Linked DNA regions of Caenorhabditis elegans. The protein of the gene in region 2 interacts with the protein of the main gene of each other region in a pairwise test. Each region holds a gene or a part of one and is shown on either strand. Other genes may lie near its edges.

Region 1 (6,149 bases), on a different chromosome or scaffold from region 2:
ATTTCTCCCGTCTATTTTTCAATTCAACTTTCTTATATTTTCAATACTCAATCATTCCCTTCCACGTGTGTGCCCAATATTTAAATTTCACCCAAGCGATCTCGGCGAAAAACGCCTCCTGTAAAATAAAATTTCTTTCGCTTTCAACTTTCTTTCAAACTTTCCAAGTTTTCTAGCGAACCAGCTTTCATCTTTAACACAATTAAGGCGGTTACAGTGTTGGCAAATCATAGGCTTCTGCTTGACTTCTTGCACGACTTCTGCTCAGCTAATCGTGTATGAGAAGGATATTGACTGTGATGTAAATAGCAGAGGACAAGAAACTAGAATTCGTTGAGCAATTGTTCTTATTATTGAAAACCGGAAATAATTTGAATTCGGAGCAAAATAGTTGCGTGATTTTTTTATTTCTCAATTAAAATTTTATTTAATAACCAGGCATGCCTGTTTTCGAAATCAATATATATTTGCGCCAGTAGTACGGCATCCGGTCTTGGCACGACAATTTTTTCTACTGCAAAAAGGCATGCGCCTTTAAAGAGTACTGTAATAAAAAAACTTTTGTTGCCAAGGAATTTTAGTAGTTTTTTTGTCGATTTGTTTTGAATTTTTTTTGTGTTTTTTGAACAAGAAAACCTGTCAATTCACATCCCTATCAAAAATTATTTCGTCATGTGAATTTCTTGTGACCCCAACAGTCTGTTCTAGAATCACTAGAAATTTACTAATCCAATTAGAAAATTTGTCAAAAACAGTAATGCCCAGTTTTCTTGACTTTTTGAAACTGGAATCGGAAGTGTTTAACGTTTTTGGAACAAATTAACTGTTTTTAATGTACCAATTGGGATCTCTGCATCAGGGGTGCTCAGCAAACGATTTTTCCGGCAAATCGGCAAACTGGCAAATTGGCAATTTGTCAAGTTTCCCGGTAAAACGGCAAAACGGCAATAAAAAATTGTGGGTTTACACATTTTATTTTGGAAGTTTCTGAATTTCAATTTTAACCGGCAAAAATCCTATGAATGTTCCTTCATTTTTTTTGAAAAGTAAGCAAATTCTATGAAAATATCTAGAAAAAACTGGGAAAAAATTTCAAAAAGACACAGTTTTAAGTTCATCTGTCTTATGAAAAATCCCTCTAAACACTTCCGGCAAATTGATATCCGGCAATTTGCCGAAATCGATTATTTCCGGCAATTTGGCAAACCGGTAAATTGCCGAACGGCAACTGCTTGCTCTGCATAATGCCAAAAAAAAAAGTTCTCTAAAAAAATCTATAAATTCAAATTTCAAAACCATAACAAATTCGAATGAATAAAAGCAATTTATTAACGAGATCTTATAGGGAGACTAATCACTTTTCACCTTCTTACTCAAAATTCTAGATAAAATTCGGCAAACTATTTGGAAACTGATGTAAGCTGTAATAATTGATACAAAAATTAGGAATACAATGACATCTAGGTAATAATGAGCAATTGGTCCAACTTGATTAATTTCAGGAATTTGAGATCGCAGATTTGGGAATCTGAAATTTTTTTAAAAATTATTTTCTTGCTTCAAACTAAACATCTTTCTGTAGCTTACTTTATCGCAAACTCCAAATGCTTCATCAAATTCATTACTGGATCAATTGGTTGATTGGTGAGCACATCTAGCAATTCCTTGGCCTTTTGCTCATACTTCGGATTTGTCACCAAATCTCGAACAGTTTCAGTCAGCTTTTTCCCATCTACCAAATCAAATTTATCATATGCAATAGCTCCTCCGTGCCTGGCAAGCATATCCGCATTCATGGGCTGATCTCCGAAAATCGGGACCATCAGAGCAGGTTTTCCAGTGTAAGCAACTTCCATTGTACTTCCCAGTCCTCCATGCGTTACAAATAGCTTGACACGTTTGTCAGCAAGCAAAGAAGGCTGGGGGACCCATTTCTTCAAGTGAACATTCTTTGGGAGTTTCTTCTGGAATTCCAAGTCATCTATCTCATATTTCCAGATAAATATGACATCTGGAAGTGACTCGAACACCTTGATAAGTCCTGCTTTAAAGTTTTCAGGCATTTCGTAGGATCTAATAACAGATCCAAAAGAAATCAATACAGTTGTCTCTTTTTCTTTTAGGATTATTTCGTATTCTTCTGGTAACGCATCGACATGATTCATTTTCTCCAAATTAATCGTGATCCCACCAATATGAACAATAGTTGCAGTTGTTGGAACCGCAAAGTCCAAGTATGGATTTGAATTTGTCATATAAACCGGCGCTTCCTTTACAAGATCCTTCCAATATGGTACTACATGCCCAGCAGCTTTTTCGATGACATCATTCTGATATTGAGCCATTCCTCGGAATGCCATCTTAGAAAAGAAGTCACGGTACACATCATTGAGTCGGTCTAGAAATCCAGCGTCTGGTGCCAACTTGGAGCCTTGTTGTGTTAGGTAACCAAAAGCTGATGATTGTCCAAATGCTTCATTGAAAATGTCAAGGCGGACAGCGGAGAGTATCGGAATGCAAGGGACTCCCAGGAAGTGTGACATGTCTGAAATTGAAAAGATGGATTATCGAATAAATAATTTCAAAATAGCTTAAATTTACTAAATCTCTTTATTATACTCTAGAAATGCAATTTTCAGTCAACGTTCGGTTTAAAAAAAAGAGGGGTAAATAGAGAAAAAATAAGTTTCAGAAAATTGAAGAATTCAGAAAAAATAAAGTCTTAAGACTAGTTTTCGATTTTTTTTTTATATTCAAAAAAATTGTTTGAAACTTTATATAAACTTAGTTCATAATATTTTATAGCTTTCTAAAATTAGTTTTAAATATTTGCTCAGTGGTGATTCTTGATTTTCAAATTTTTTATACGTTCCAAAAGTTAGTTTGTTCAAAGTTAATAGTTGAAAATCAAAAATTGTATGAGAAACTTTTGAGGAAAACAGGTAAATTCAATTTTTTTTGTAAACTAATGGACTTTGTGAGTTTGTTTTGAAGTTAGAATGCTTTATAATTTAGATTTTTTTAATAAATTTGCTTCAATTAATCCAAAATCTATCACTTACACATTCCAGTAAGCTCGAAAGTTTCCGAAATGGCAACATCGAACTTTTTATCCTTGAGCTTTTTGAGAATCTCTTTATCTTTTATGAGCTCTGAAAATTGAAAATTCATTTTTTAAATTCAAATTAAATTTAAAAAAATCTTACGTATTGTAGTTTTCTTGAACTCTCCACCAAGAATTCTAGGAAGCATAAATGCCATTAAAACTGGATTATTCATCAGTTGAGAGTCCCAGAAATCGGGAAATGTTTGAGTTTCGAGTTTTAACAGATCATCGTAGTGATCTGGATAGTAGTTGATGATCTAAAAAAATTAACATTTATATATACGGTAGATTGAGCTGAACCTCAATATTTTTATTCTTCACAATCCCATCCAAGTTTTTCAGCGCAAGATGAAAAGGTTGAAATAAAGTCTGCAAACAATTGAAAAAACGATTTTTTTAAATAAAAAAAACTCACAACTTCCTGCCCATGGTCTGCAATAATATCTGCTAATTTACTGACAAATTTGACATGACTAAATCCAAAAATTGGGTTAAAAATTAGAATTTTCGCTGCATAGTTGACTTTAAGTAGAAAACACAGACAAGAAAATGTCAGTAACCTCATGGCAGTAAATAAAGTGAACACAACCTTGTCTACTCTTTTATTTGCTACTTCTAGAGGGTGACCTGTGTTTTCTCTTCTCCTCCATCCCGACAGTGAACTCTTGCGATTGCGCAAAGATCACACAAATTGTCATGTTTGGCAAGTCTGGAAAGTTTTGATCGCAAAAAAACAATTCTTGAAATTGTCATCATTTGTTTTTCAAATTTGGCAACCGTTGGCAACCGACAGAATTGCCAAAAAAACTGAAAGCTAGAAAAATGTGAATGAATAAAAATTGAACTATAGATTATTCACTTTGCTATGTTTTTCAAAATCAATTTGAATTATTTTTGAATGAATAAAAAATGTAGAAACACAACAAAATTGTGAAAACTCATACCAAAACTTGGAATAAAAATTCGTCTATTTTTTAACACGTCCTAATAATTTATTTGACTGTTCAAACACCAAAAATGTATTTTCATGCAATTTCTATAATTGTTCGAAAAATCAAAACTAAATTTGTTAAAATTTTGGAACAAAAAAAAATTAAAAAGAGCTGACACACCTTTTTATACTATTCCGTTTTTTTGGCATTTTTGTAAGTTTTTTCTCGGTTTTATTTTTTTTATTTGTTAAAAACATACAATTACAAAATTAAATCAAAAATGTATGTCAAATTTGCCGAGAAAACTTTCAGAATTTTTTTTCAGTTGAATTCAGTTGTTACGATCCATTTTTCTACCATATAAAATCGAAGTACCAGAAATTTATGCTAGCTACTTTACATTCAAAGTTGAAACTTCAAAACAAAAATGCATACGCTTTTCTTCAAAAAAAAGATTTGTTCAAAATTTAGAATTTTCAAGAAAGAGAAACTTGAAGTTGTGAACATATTATGCGACACAGAAAAATAACAAACCACAAATGAACAAAATCACAGACCTGTCAGAATAAGTTAGTCAAACTTTTTGATAACTCCCTCTAGAGATCATAATTTATGATGAACATGTGAAGATGAACTTCTTTCTCTGAGTACAACCTACAAAGCGACTACGATAACTACAAGCACATCAATTCCATCAGTGGCTGTATAAAAGAAACGTTATCTGTCCTAGTCATGTAATCATGTTGCCCAATAATTTGCTATCAATTCTATTAGTTATTAGTTTGGTTTCTTGCAAAAACATATTGGTTTATAACCCAATATTTGGATATAGTCATGCTAAGTTTGTTAGTCAGCTGGCTAATATTATAGCTGATCATGGACATAATGTTGTAAGTTTTCGGAAGGCTTTCTGTAGGGTGAAGGTGGGAAAAAGTTTAAAATTCGAAAATTTCAGACAGTCTTCCAACCATTTCATATTGCCCTCAAAAACACAGATGGATTGATTAAAAATAAGAACATTGAAGTAACGAATTCCAAAAAAAAAATCAGTTGAAAATAAATTCTTTCAGATTATAAACTACTATCCAGATCACTACGCTGAGCTTTTGAAGAAGAAAACTCCAACTTTCCCAGATTTCTGGGATTCCCATCTGATGAATAACCCAGTTTTATCATCATTCCTCATGCCAAAAGCTCTTGGAGGAGAATTTGAACAAACTACTACACGTGAGAGATTCAAGAGGGATCGTAAGAATATAAAACTTTTTTCCAGAACTTTTCCAAGATCAAAAAATCCTTAACGACCTTAAAAATAGAAACTTTGATGTTTTGCTGGCTGAAACTTTCGAAATAGCAGGATTTTGTAAGCTTTCAAGAAGTATTCGCCTTTATATCATTGTAAAATTTTTCAGATATAGCTGATCTTCTTGAAATTCCAAGTATTCCACTCATGTCGGCTGTACGACTCCCAATTATTGACAGCGCATTTGGCCAGCCATCTATCCTTGGATATTTTCCACAACAATACTCCAAAGTTGCACCTGAAGCAGGATTCCTCGACAGGCTCAACGACTTGTACCGGATCTTCTTCTGGAATCTTACGACGCAACGTTTGTGCCAGTTCCAGAATGATTTCATCCAAAAAGCTATTGGTCACCCTGTACCCCATTGGAGAGATCTTGTAAAAGAATCACCAATATACATTACAAATTCAAACTCATATCTGGACTTTGCTGTTCCAACAACTGCTACCATTGTTCATGTTGGTGGAATTACCATTGACTTGGAGAAAATGAGACATGTTGCGGCTCTAACTGAAGAGTATGAGAACATTCTTGCGGAAAGAGAGTCGACGGTTTTCATATCTTTTGGATCTGTTATCAGATCTTATGAGATGCCCGATAACTTCAAAGCAGGAATCATCAAGATGTTCAAATCACTTCCAGATGTCACATTTATCTGGAAGTATGAGAAAGATGACGTGAAATTTCAGAATAGGCTTCCAAAGAATGTTCACTTAAAGAAATGGGTTCCACAGCCTTCTTTGCTTGCTGACAAACGTGTGAAACTATTTGTGACCCATGGAGGACTGGGAAGTACAATGGAAGTAG
Region 2 (5,350 bases):
TTACCAGTTACATTAAACTGGTGTTCTCTCAATGAAAGTGAATTTGATAAAAAGGCGTGCAGGCAAAGAGAACACCTTGGCAGAGAAAAAGAGATAGAACAACCGTTTGGTTTTGGAAAAAAAAGGCCAAGGACAGTTTGTGGTAAAAAACCAAAAAAAAGTCTCTATTACACAACAAGTGATAGCCAGACAGCCATTTTCTCAGTGGTATGACAAGATTTGTTTGCGTTGACAACTTTCTTCGTTTTCTTCGGACAAACAGTTTCGTTGAGGAACATAATTGTAATAGTACTGATATTGTAGAGATTCAGAGATAGATGCAGACAATGGGTCAATCCAATGCAGACGAATGGGTGCTAAAGGGCAGAAAGAAATGGGAGAACGGATTGGAGAAAGGGGGTTATTGAGTCATGGAATGATTAAAGTAGGTTGACGGTTGTTGGTTTCGAAATTGTTGTTCTACTGAAGAATTATGAAACAGATGTTCTAGAATTTTCACGAAAAAGAAAACAATTGTGTAGAAGTGAATAAACATGTTTTTAAAATATGAATTGGCATTCTCAATGCCAAAAAATACCAAGATGCAATCAAACCATGTGTGGTTCGGTAAGAAAATTTCATCTTGCCTATAGGTATTTTGAGGTTGCCTACGCTTGCCTACTAGAGTGAACGCGAATCTTTTTTATATCGGAATTTAATTTCAAGCATGTTCCTTACTTTAGTTCGCAGCTAAATTTAGAAAATAGGCAATGGGCATGAATGTATGTCACAGGCGCCTAAAAGCCGTGCCTGTCTACCGTTGAAGTCATAAATCCTTCATAAATCCTAGTAAACTCTGTGTTACAGCTGATAGTACGGTATTCTTTATTTAAACTTAGATCTAGTTGCTAAGTTTAGTTGGATGTATTGAAATGGAGGGTTTTTTCTCAGTCTCTGGAACTGTGAAGCTTTGCTAAAAACTAATGATTCAAAATGCTAGCAATTCAAAATTGAAATCTAAATTAATGGGATTTCCAAACAAGTGAACGTAAACTAATGAGAGAGTATATTGAATGACTAGGTTAAAATGGCCTATATCCCTCCGAATCAAGTGAAAATGAGAGCCAGTATGCATCCAGAAATGACAGATACACACTCTCATCCATTGCCTTTTTCCAATTCTCAGTCATATTTTGGCGAGTGAGAGCGGCGGGCGGACACGGACACGGACAACCAGACGCACAGAGTCGGTACCAAGCAGCACCGGCCGTCTCGTACGTCTCTCTGTCCGTGCACAGTGAGAGACAGGAAGAAAAACTAGTGGAAATAGTGAGTAGGACATAGAGACGCAGACGTTTGCTAGATGAACATTTGCAACTCTGTGAGACAACTAGGAGCAAGAAAAAACGGACGATGATGTGAGACTAGAAATGTTTCAAATAATGTGTAAAAGCTGTAGGTTTTAGATTCATGAGGGTTTCGAGGAGAAACCAATCTGGCATTCAACAATAAATAGAATTAGGCCTGCCTTTTTCAAATCACAGGTTGAAGGACCGTAAATATTTGTGTCTCTAGGCATAGGTTAGGGATGGATAGAACGGTAAACAACCAAACAAACACTTTTTGAAAACTTTATTTCGAACACTTTTCTCAAGTTAAGATCCCACACGTTTTGGAGTCATTTTCAGGGGCTTCGGAGACGGAATGTACGGGATGCGAACTTCTGGGGCAGGATCCGATGGCAAGGTGGCTGGAACTGGAGCAGGGGCTGATGCGGCGGTTGTTTTGATGATGCATGGAGGATTCTTGCACGGTTTCTTGTAGAAATCTTTGTTTGCCTTCATAATCTCCAAAACATCAGGAGGAAGAAGCTGCAAAGAAGAAAATAAAAACATGTTTTGGTAAATGAAATGATAAGAGGAAATGGGTTCAAACTGACCACATCAAACTGCTTGTTGGCTTTTCCTTGGGGTGGTTTTGGAGGAGGAAGCATCACTGAATTTCCAGATTTCTTCACTCCAGCAGGTGTGCTCTGTGCACCATCGGGAGGCGGTGGAGCAGGACCAAGTGGATCAGTAGTTGTGGATCTTTCCAATGTAAGACGGACCGTTTTTGTGTTGTTGACACTCGCGTAGAGAAGCTGAAAGTAAGTTAATTACTAAAATAAAATAAGAAAAATACTACAATACCTTTCTAGCAGAGTCACGATCAAGAACATAAATGTCATTAACTTTAACAAGAATATCTCCATCCTTGACATAGTGACACGCATTGGAAGCCGATTGAACCATTGAAATAGTCACAGTTTTTGGATCAACTGCCATCTGTAAATCATCCATGAAAGTATAAATTGTCCCTGATTACTAACTCTATGAATGATAATCCCTGTTGCAGCACCTCCACGATAAGTGAAAGTCAACTCAACCATTTGAGTATTTGGACGACGTGGTGGCATTGGTTTTTCAGTGACAAGGCAATGATCGTCTCGCATGAATTCAATTGTCACTTTTCCGGGAAGTTTTGCACTAATTGCACGGATAAAGTCAGCAGTTGTCTTGATGTTCTGGAAATGTTTGATTAGTTGAAACGGAAAATCTTAAAATATTCCTTACAGTTTCTCCATTGACATTCAGAATCTCATCACCAGCAAATAGAACACCCATCAGTTGGCTACTCACATCCACATATGTAATCTGCAATGTGATTATTCAAGATCTCTTCGATTTTTGAATTGAAAATGAGTCTTTTTACAGCCTCGAAGGAAATTGCAACCGGACTTCTTATTTATTAAAGAGTGTTCTACTGTTCTACACATCAGGGCTTTTGAAGTTTTATTCGGCTCTCGACGCGAGCCCTGTGTTGGATTCTTTATTTACCTTTCCATTGACCACATCACATGCTACAACCACATTTTTCCGTTCGAATTGTACTTCTTCTTTTCCTTTTACATGAAAACTATTGTTGTTGGTTGCCATCTGTAAATAGTACGTGTCTATCTCACAGCAACCCACTCTCGCGTCTCCTGTAACTAGTCGAGCGTCTATGCCTTTGGACCCAGCGCACTCGCTGGCCTCCTTAGCTCAGTTGGTAGAGCGTGAGACTTTTAATCTTAAGGTCAGGGGTTCGAGTCCCCTAGGTGGCTTGATTTTTTGCAGTCTGAATATTAACTTACCCCGAATAGATTGATGCGAAGATGAAAGCAACTGTCGACAAGGAAATATTTGAAACTGATTCAGTTTCTCTTTTCACTTTTTATTTTCTGATTTTTTTCTGTGTAAAACGAATTCAAACGATGTCACGCGGGTATATTTATTAAATTAATTAAATTATTTATTATTAATTAAAATTATTATATTTTGATGAGATCAATGGAATGGAACAATCCAATCAGCGTTGTCTTCTGCTTTTGTCACTTTCTTTTCACTTCCTCTTACAAACTTTGAAAGTCTTGAACGAATTGTATTCAGATCTTTGCTGTATGTTGGGGCGCTGAAATTAATTAATATTAGATTATTTTCTCCTGATTTGAGTAATTCACCTATGAGCTCTAGCTTCGGACGTTGTGTCATTATCAGATTCTTCAGTTTGAACAGTTTCCATAGCTTTTTCAGCTGGTTTCATAGTTGTAGTTGTGATTCCAAGAAGACGTTGGAAACTTGGTGGCATTGTCAATGCAGGCATTGTTGGCATTCCAGGAATTGGAGTGAAAGTTGGGAAAGTATGTGGAGCAAGAGTTGGAAGAGTTGGAAGGCCTTCTGCAGACAGGACTGGTACAGGTACTGGAATGAATTGTGGAAGTGGAAGAAGTGGTGGAAGAAGTGGAAGTGTCATTGGAAGTGGTTTAGCTGGAGCTCTTTTCACTGAACGATTAGCTTTTTGAGCTGGAAGTGTAACAACTGCTGGAGCACGTCGGATTCCTGTAGAAGCTGGACGAAGAGATTTAGCAAAAGGAGCATATGCCGATAATGATGGGAGGGGTGATCTGAAGAATAGATTAAAGAAAAAATGGAATAAATGTTAAACCTTCGAACATCTCCTCTCGGTCTTAAAGCACTTGCTCTCGGTACAACTTCATAACATGCAACGAATCCTGAAATGTTGAAATTAATTGAATTTTGAAGTCAAATATATTGATCAACTGAAAATTATATAGAAGCAATTTTTCTGGACTGGTTTTTTTTGCGATTTCGTGCAAGACGAAGAAAATATGAGAATCGAAATTTGGTTATTTATAGAACGTTTCAATTTATTGACGTACAAGCAGAATTCATATTGGGTAAAATTGTTATGACTAAGAAGTTTTGGATATGTCAAATAAATTAGTTATGTATTTTTCTTAATATTTTTTAAAACAAATTTGAACATATTTTAACCCAATTAGATAAATATTTCCTTTACCATTTAGAGCTAAATTTAGGGATAAATCAACGAAACAATCGAAAAACTAACCGATGACACAAACAGCTAACAGAAGAAGCTTCATTGTTGATTCTTTCCACAAAAATGAGAAGACGAAAAAGATAGAATAAGCCTCGAAGGCGTCGCTTCTTATCACTTTTCTTCCTACGATTTCTCGTTTTGCCCTTATCAATTAGCCATCATTTTGTGGAAATCTCAATGAAAATTCCCGTTGAAAATGAAAAAAGACAATGGATATCCACCACTTGTACACTGTCTTCAATAAGATGAAAGTTCAGCTAACATTAGTTTTTACAAACAGGGATATATTGGATTATCGTGATATTGAACTTGCTAGATTTTTATTTAATTCTATGTTGTTCAGAACATTAGTGTTCGCTGTCAATTTTTAACATATACTTTGTAAAGTATCCCACTTGTGACATGGTTTTACAACAATGCTATGCAAATTTGAGGACACTCAAATAATGGGCGGGACATAGATGATACTCGAGGTGGTACTGTTATAATCGTACCATTTTTATTTTCGCAGTACAATGCGAACGTGCGTCTTCTTTTTCTGTCTACTATTCGTTATGTAAGTTTATATGAAAAAAGTTTTATTTTAAATTAAAACTTTGACACAATAAAAAGTTTCCGAAGCATCTAAAACATCTAGTGGAATCTAGATCATCTAGTTCAAAAGATTCTCCAATTGAAAAATTTGGCTGAGCTACAGAAATCGTCAAGGGAAAAATTTACAAAACTTTTTGAAATTATCAATCCAATTCTTCAAAATATCCCTTTGTATCATTACAATATATCTCAGATGCCTTGCAAGACGAGATGCCAATCAGAAGCTGAAGGCATGCTGTGCTCGACAGAAAACCGCTGACAAAATGTGCAAAAAGAGGTTCTGTGATTTTGAAGCCATTCACCAAGGAAATGTAAGAATCAGTATTTCAATTCAAAA
Region 3 (5,531 bases), on a different chromosome or scaffold from region 2:
ATATGTTTCTTCTTTTACAGTAGAAAATTAGTTGATAGCTTCAAAATGAAGGTGTGGGCTCGCGAAATTTTTTAAAACCGATTTTATGCCGATGCACCATGCCTAAAGTTCTTTTTTTTAGATACGCCCAAATAATGGTGCACCTGTGCCGCGCGGAGATCCTCATCTCGCTCATCTTTTTGGCTCATGGCACCACATGCCCCGGCTACCCGACAGAAGCCGAATACCAATCCACGTGCCATATGAATACGGTATCAGCAATTGTCAGCTTGCTCACCGGAGCCATGGGATTGGGCGCTGTGCATAGATATCGGTGGAGGACCATGCTAATCTTGTGGCTCGTTTTTTGTATCATGTCGGCTGTCGGAAGTCTGCTAGCTGTGATTACTACAGGTAAGAGAGTTTTTTGCCGAATGGCTTATATCTCGATCAGATTGAAAGTTGTTCAGAAATTTTTCAACAAAGTTATACTTTTTTGATATCCATTAAAGTTGAGTAAAACTAAAACAATGTCATTTTTCTTCATGGTGCATTGTTGAACATAGAAACTGATACAACAAGTTGTTTGTCAATAACTTTTGGATAAAACCAAAAAGAACTGAGATATCAACTCTCAAAATCAGGCAAACATGGTGCAACGAAAACTTCATCTTTGGTTTTATAAAAATTATTAGCTAACTTTATACACTGTTCCTTTAAAATTAACCGAGGTATGGGATTTCAATTAATTTTTTTCTCAGGCATCTGGCTCGACCACTACTCAAAAATGAAAGTCCGCACGGCAATCGGCAACGGGTTATCCGGTTTCATGCTTTTGGCATCAGTTGCTCTTGGAGTGTGCTTCATCTTGACCGCTGTCATGATTTGTCATTATTGGAACTCCAACACCACCGGCTATCAGCCAGTGCAGAAAATTGCAGTGAGTTGACAAACCTCGTTTACTTTTAAAATTATTACCAATTTACATATTGCAAAGTTAAGAAAACGTGTTTTAATTATTTCGCCAATTGAAAACTTTTTGACAAATGCAAAAAAGCTCTTAAATCACATGGTGCATCGAACCTTGTTCCAGAAATTTCCATAAACCCTTTGCAGAAACGCGCTAGATCTCTGCGCCGTCGATTGAGCCGAGCAAAGAGCTGTGACAAAAAAGATGCAAGACCTCCAACCAGCAATCCAGAAGATAAGGGTTATCATATCGTGTGATTTTTTTTGTTCTTTTTTCTAAATTCCAATTCCATTTGTTGCTCAAAACGGGTCAATTCCATCATTTCAATCCATTCTGTGTGTCTCAAAGAAATCAATAAATTCTGAAATTACACATTTATTTTACATATTTGGCGACATTAAAGGAATTATTTATAAATTATACAGATCAAGTTAAAGCGGAAAAATCATCGCATAAGCACTTCAGAACTTCTCCTCATAGCGAATTTGCTCAGCCTGTGGGTGCTCGGTAGTGTACTTGACGACGAAAGTGCTGGACTGTCCTGGCGCAAGTTGGACGGTGTAGTCGAGAATCTTCTCCGGAGTGATGGCGGCTCCGACGGTTGGCTCGACGCTTGCCTCGTCGACTTCCACGGCTTCTGGGGTGTTGAGGTGGACCTGAAAAATGGGAAATTTAGGGGCTTTTTATGTATTCAATCTTTACCTTAATTCTAGAATCTGTGGATCTTGGCAACTGCTCGCGAATGGTGAGAAGCACCGAGTTGGGGCGAAGATTAGTGACGGCAGTGGTCTTCTCGGTGACCTGAGAGTTGATCTTCTCGACGGTTCCGCTCTGTTCCTGGTAGTTTCTGACAGGCTTGTACTCGATGCGGATGTTCGGGTCGACGCCCAACGACACCTCAAACTTTTGCGATACGACCGCATCTTCGAACTCGGTCTTGTTGACGAATGCTCCGTCGAGGAAGATCGATGCCTGACCGGCGACGAGTGGGTAGTCGGAGGTGTTGACCGAGTTGGCGACGAGGAACGCGGTGGCGTTACGGGATGGGACGGTAACGTTGGAGAGCTTGGTGTCGAGTGTGAATTGTCCGATGTTCACCTTGTACTCGTCGGTGCGATCGTCGATGGTGGCGGGGCGGCCAATGCTGAACTCGGAGGCAATGTTGCTGGACTTCACAGCCGCATAGGACATTTTCATGGATTTTCTACTTCTACCCATTTCCATCATCGGAGCCGCGCAGGCCATCACCACTGAATCCTGAGCGTAACCACCTCCATAACCTCCTCTTCCACCTCTGTTACATTCTGGTTCGGGCACAACAATCGATGCCTCGAGGGCTCCGAGCTTCGGAAGTTGCTTAACTCCGTGAGCGGGTCTTGCGGTTGACAACACCAATGGCACTGTCTTCCAGTCTTCTCCACTGTACTGACGGACCTTTCCGAAGTAGGTGACGTGCATCTCAGCTTCAACACCAGCAGTGACGCGGATGTCGTAGAACGGGGTCCAGGAGACGTTGTTCACTTGGTAGGTGATGGTGAGCTGTGCAGCACCACCGGCTTCTGACTCAACAATAATACTGGCATACTGAGCAGAGTTTCTCCATCTGTATCCGGTATTGTCGTAGTCTTGGCTAGCACGGGCGTACTCTTCCTCGGCCTTTCGCAGGTCTTGATCCAGGGTTCGGATCTGAGCGCGAAGATCCACTGTTGTGTCTTGATGGAATCCGTGGAGGGCGTTGAGACTTTCAATTGTGCGCCCGTCAAAATGGAAGGCGCCGTCCTTTCCGTGCTTGGCGACTTCGGTGATCAGATTGTCAAGTCCCTCGATGCGCTTCTGTACGGCAACTCGGCTATCGGCAACCTTGTCCTTGGCGCGTTCCTTTTCCTCGAAGATCGCCTTAATTGCGAGAACCCGCTCCGGGATCACAAACTCGGCACCCTCCTGGTTCTTGACGGAGACGTCGTGGATCACAGCTTCGCCGGCTCCGGAAACACGGATCGAGTCCTGGACGAGGTCGAATGGGAGGTTCTGAAAATTTTTTTATCACATTGTGTGAGTGTTTTTATGACTTTAACTTTGACAGGTAAGGTAAATATTGGAAATTTCGATGGTTTTGTTTGCTTAGCAGTAAAAAATGCAAAAAAAAATTATTTTTTCTCGTATTTTATAGCCCTTCACTCACCTGAACTTTAACCTCATTGTAGCCATGAGCCAACTCGACCTGGAAAGTTCTCTTGAGCTCAGCGCAGTTCGAGTCGGAGCTGTAGACGAGAGCCTGGTCGATGGCGACGTCATGGAGGGTGAGCTTGTGAGTTTGCACGATGTGAGCCATTTTTTCTGGAAATTTTGAGGTAAATTTCAAGGGAAAATTTGAAAAAGTGAGGCTAAGACGAGAGTTTAACAAATAAAATTCTACAAAACTGACTATTTTCTATTTTTTTTTCAACAAAAAAAAAACACAAGCAACTTCCGAATTTCTCCCAACACAAAAAAGAAACAAACAGAAATTGAAAGTGTTCATTTTTACGTAGATCAAAAATGTTCAAAATTAACTACGATTTTTTGAATTAAAATTTCATCTTGCAAAACACTGAAAAATCTAATTAGAAAATACAGAAATTGATATTTTCCAACAAAAAAAATCACGTAATTTTCAAATTTCGCACATTTTTTAAATGTTGCTAGAATACTGTGAAATACTACAAATTACAAATTTAAAAAATTGTTTCATGATAAAATTCCCGAAATTTCAAGTTTCGCAATAATATCCGAACTTTTTCGAAAAAAAAAAATTGAAAAATGTCATTACTTTCGCTCGTTTTAGACAAAAAATTTGCAAACTAGAGCTATTTATAAATGGAAATAAAGCTTTGAAGCTATTTTTCCCCGGAACTCACCAAAAATATAGGAAACTGCGATTTTGGCAGAAAATGTATTTGAAATAAAATGAAAAAAAAAATCGAATTCCCAATAATTTTTTTTGAGTAAAATACGATATTTCACGTATTTCGCAATCTTATTTTTCGTATGTTATTTCGAGAAGTTTTCTAGTTTTGAAAAAGCCTTAAAAAAGTAAAAATGTAAGAGAAAAAGCGGAAAGCAAAGCTCAAACGATCAGAAAACCATGGGAAACCCGAAAAAAAAATCTCCATAGAGATTTGAGGGAAACACTCCTCTCAACAACTAACAAATTGTGGCGTTTTGGCCGCTCTTTTATACGAGTTTTTGGCATTTCTTTCGCTGTCTCTCTATCTCTTCACAAGAGGCAGCAGACAACACAAGAAAAAGGTCAAAATCAAGCGATGGGCGGCATTCTGTTGTGTTCCGATGAGTTTCTCTCGGTTTTTTTTTCGAAACTGAGACGAGTTCAACCTTTGACCAAGTGGCGATGAGTTTTCGTACTTGCTGTGTTGGCGAAAAAAGATCCTGCGGAAGGAGCTGTAAAACTGGGAGCACAAATCACACTAGACTACTCAATAAAAATACGAATTTCACAAACTACAGAACCACAGCTTTTTTTTTGAAAATTTCAAGACAAATCTGTGGAAAATTGATTTTTAACCTGAAAAATAGAAAAGCTTGACAGTTTTCAATATACCAAATTACAAATGTTTGCTTTTTTTCAGGTATGAACATAAATTGGATATAGTTTTTCTTTTTTTTTTTAAATAGAAATTTCAACTATTTTTTGAAGAATTAATTTTAAAATCCAAAGAAAAATACATACGTAAATTCTTTTTAAAAATCTGAAATTATTTCCCAAACTTTTACGAACATTTTTGAAAATTTCTATAATTTTCTGAAGATTTCCCGCTTAACATTTCTAATTCCACCAAATCACTCAAAAATCAAAGGTCACCGCAACTAAATCGTGAATCAAAAGATCACTTCCTCGTCGTCTCCTCAGCAGTTTCGAAACACACATTTTGCAATACATCATGGTGTTGGAAATGTTTTTATGAGTCACTGGCGCAAGACAAACAAAACAATAAAAAACCGCGAGAAGAGACTTAGAACGTTAGAAATGTTTGAGGGCATGAAGTGCGCTCAACCGACCGGGGGCTCCAGTCACACCACCTCCCGGGTGAGCACCACTTCCGCAGAGGTAGAGGGACTCGATGGGCGTTGAGTAGTTGCTCCATTTGCTGATCGGGCGGGACACGTACAGCTGGTCAAGGCTCATAGATCCGTGGAAGATGTTCTGAAGCAAATTTTGAAAATTGAGCCTTAAAAATGGGACCTACCCCTCCAGTAATCCCAAAAGTGTTCTGAATATCGGGTGGGGTCAAGATGTCATAGCCTATGACACTTGATGAAAAGTTCGGTGCATAAGCGTCTATCTCCGAGAAGACGTGTTTCGCGTATTCTGTCTTCTTTTCTTCCGTCCATTCACCGTCTTTCGGTGAGAAGGGAGTGTACTGGGTAAAGAGGAGGACGACGTGACCATCAGCACTATCCACAATGGTTCGGTCGACTGAAGAGGGAATTGTCATCTCGATGACTGGTCTGCAAACTTTTGAATTGAAGTTTATGGCGAGAATGATGGTATCATGAATTCTAAAAGGGGTTTTACAAATTGTCA

Evidence for each region. The genes of interacting proteins can lie anywhere in the genome.
Region 1: the proteins of mpz-3 (region 2) and ugt-11 interact in a two-hybrid assay, tested with the Caenorhabditis elegans proteins (one large-scale study listed by BioGRID).
Region 3: the proteins of mpz-3 (region 2) and F37C4.5 interact in a two-hybrid assay, tested with the Caenorhabditis elegans proteins (one large-scale study listed by BioGRID).

What each region holds. Positions count from the first base shown.
Region 1 is NC_003283.11:4,891,278-4,897,426, forward strand, and holds ugt-11 (glucuronosyltransferase), read right to left. Parts: upstream 3,795-6,149; 5' UTR 3,672-3,794; coding exon 3,522-3,671; intron 3,476-3,521; coding exon 3,407-3,475; intron 3,364-3,406; coding exon 3,207-3,363; intron 3,153-3,206; coding exon 3,063-3,152; intron 2,546-3,062; coding exon 1,588-2,545; intron 1,529-1,587; coding exon 1,351-1,528; 3' UTR 1,311-1,350; downstream 1-1,310. Other genes in the region: ugt-9 (glucuronosyltransferase), read left to right, coding at 4,779-4,928, 4,994-5,062, 5,109-5,265, 5,312-5,401, 5,451-6,149.
Region 2 is NC_003280.10:6,562,200-6,567,549, forward strand, and holds mpz-3 (PDZ domain-containing protein), read right to left. Parts: upstream 3,198-5,350; 5' UTR 3,152-3,197; intron 3,122-3,151; exon of another isoform or gene 3,049-3,121; intron 2,955-3,048; coding exon 2,856-2,954; intron 2,673-2,855; coding exon 2,592-2,672; intron 2,543-2,591; coding exon 2,348-2,542; intron 2,304-2,347; coding exon 2,169-2,303; intron 2,120-2,168; coding exon 1,919-2,119; intron 1,851-1,918; coding exon 1,635-1,850; 3' UTR 1,595-1,634; downstream 1-1,594. Other genes in the region: F18C5.5 (Vegetative cell wall protein gp1-like), read right to left, coding at 3,345-3,468, 3,518-3,961, 4,003-4,069, 4,429-4,462; dbd-6 (DB domain-containing protein), read left to right, coding at 4,935-4,975, 5,207-5,324.
Region 3 is NC_003282.8:3,870,521-3,876,051, forward strand, and holds F37C4.5 (Protein F37C4.5), read right to left. Parts: upstream 3,287-5,531; 5' UTR 3,282-3,286; coding exon 3,132-3,281; intron 2,978-3,131; coding exon 1,652-2,977; intron 1,606-1,651; coding exon 1,411-1,605; 3' UTR 1,311-1,410; downstream 1-1,310. Other genes in the region: F37C4.4 (Transmembrane protein 196), read left to right, coding at 122-393, 741-919, 1,096-1,206; F37C4.6 (Pyridine nucleotide-disulfide oxidoreductase domain-containing protein 2), read right to left, coding at 4,968-5,150, 5,194-5,455.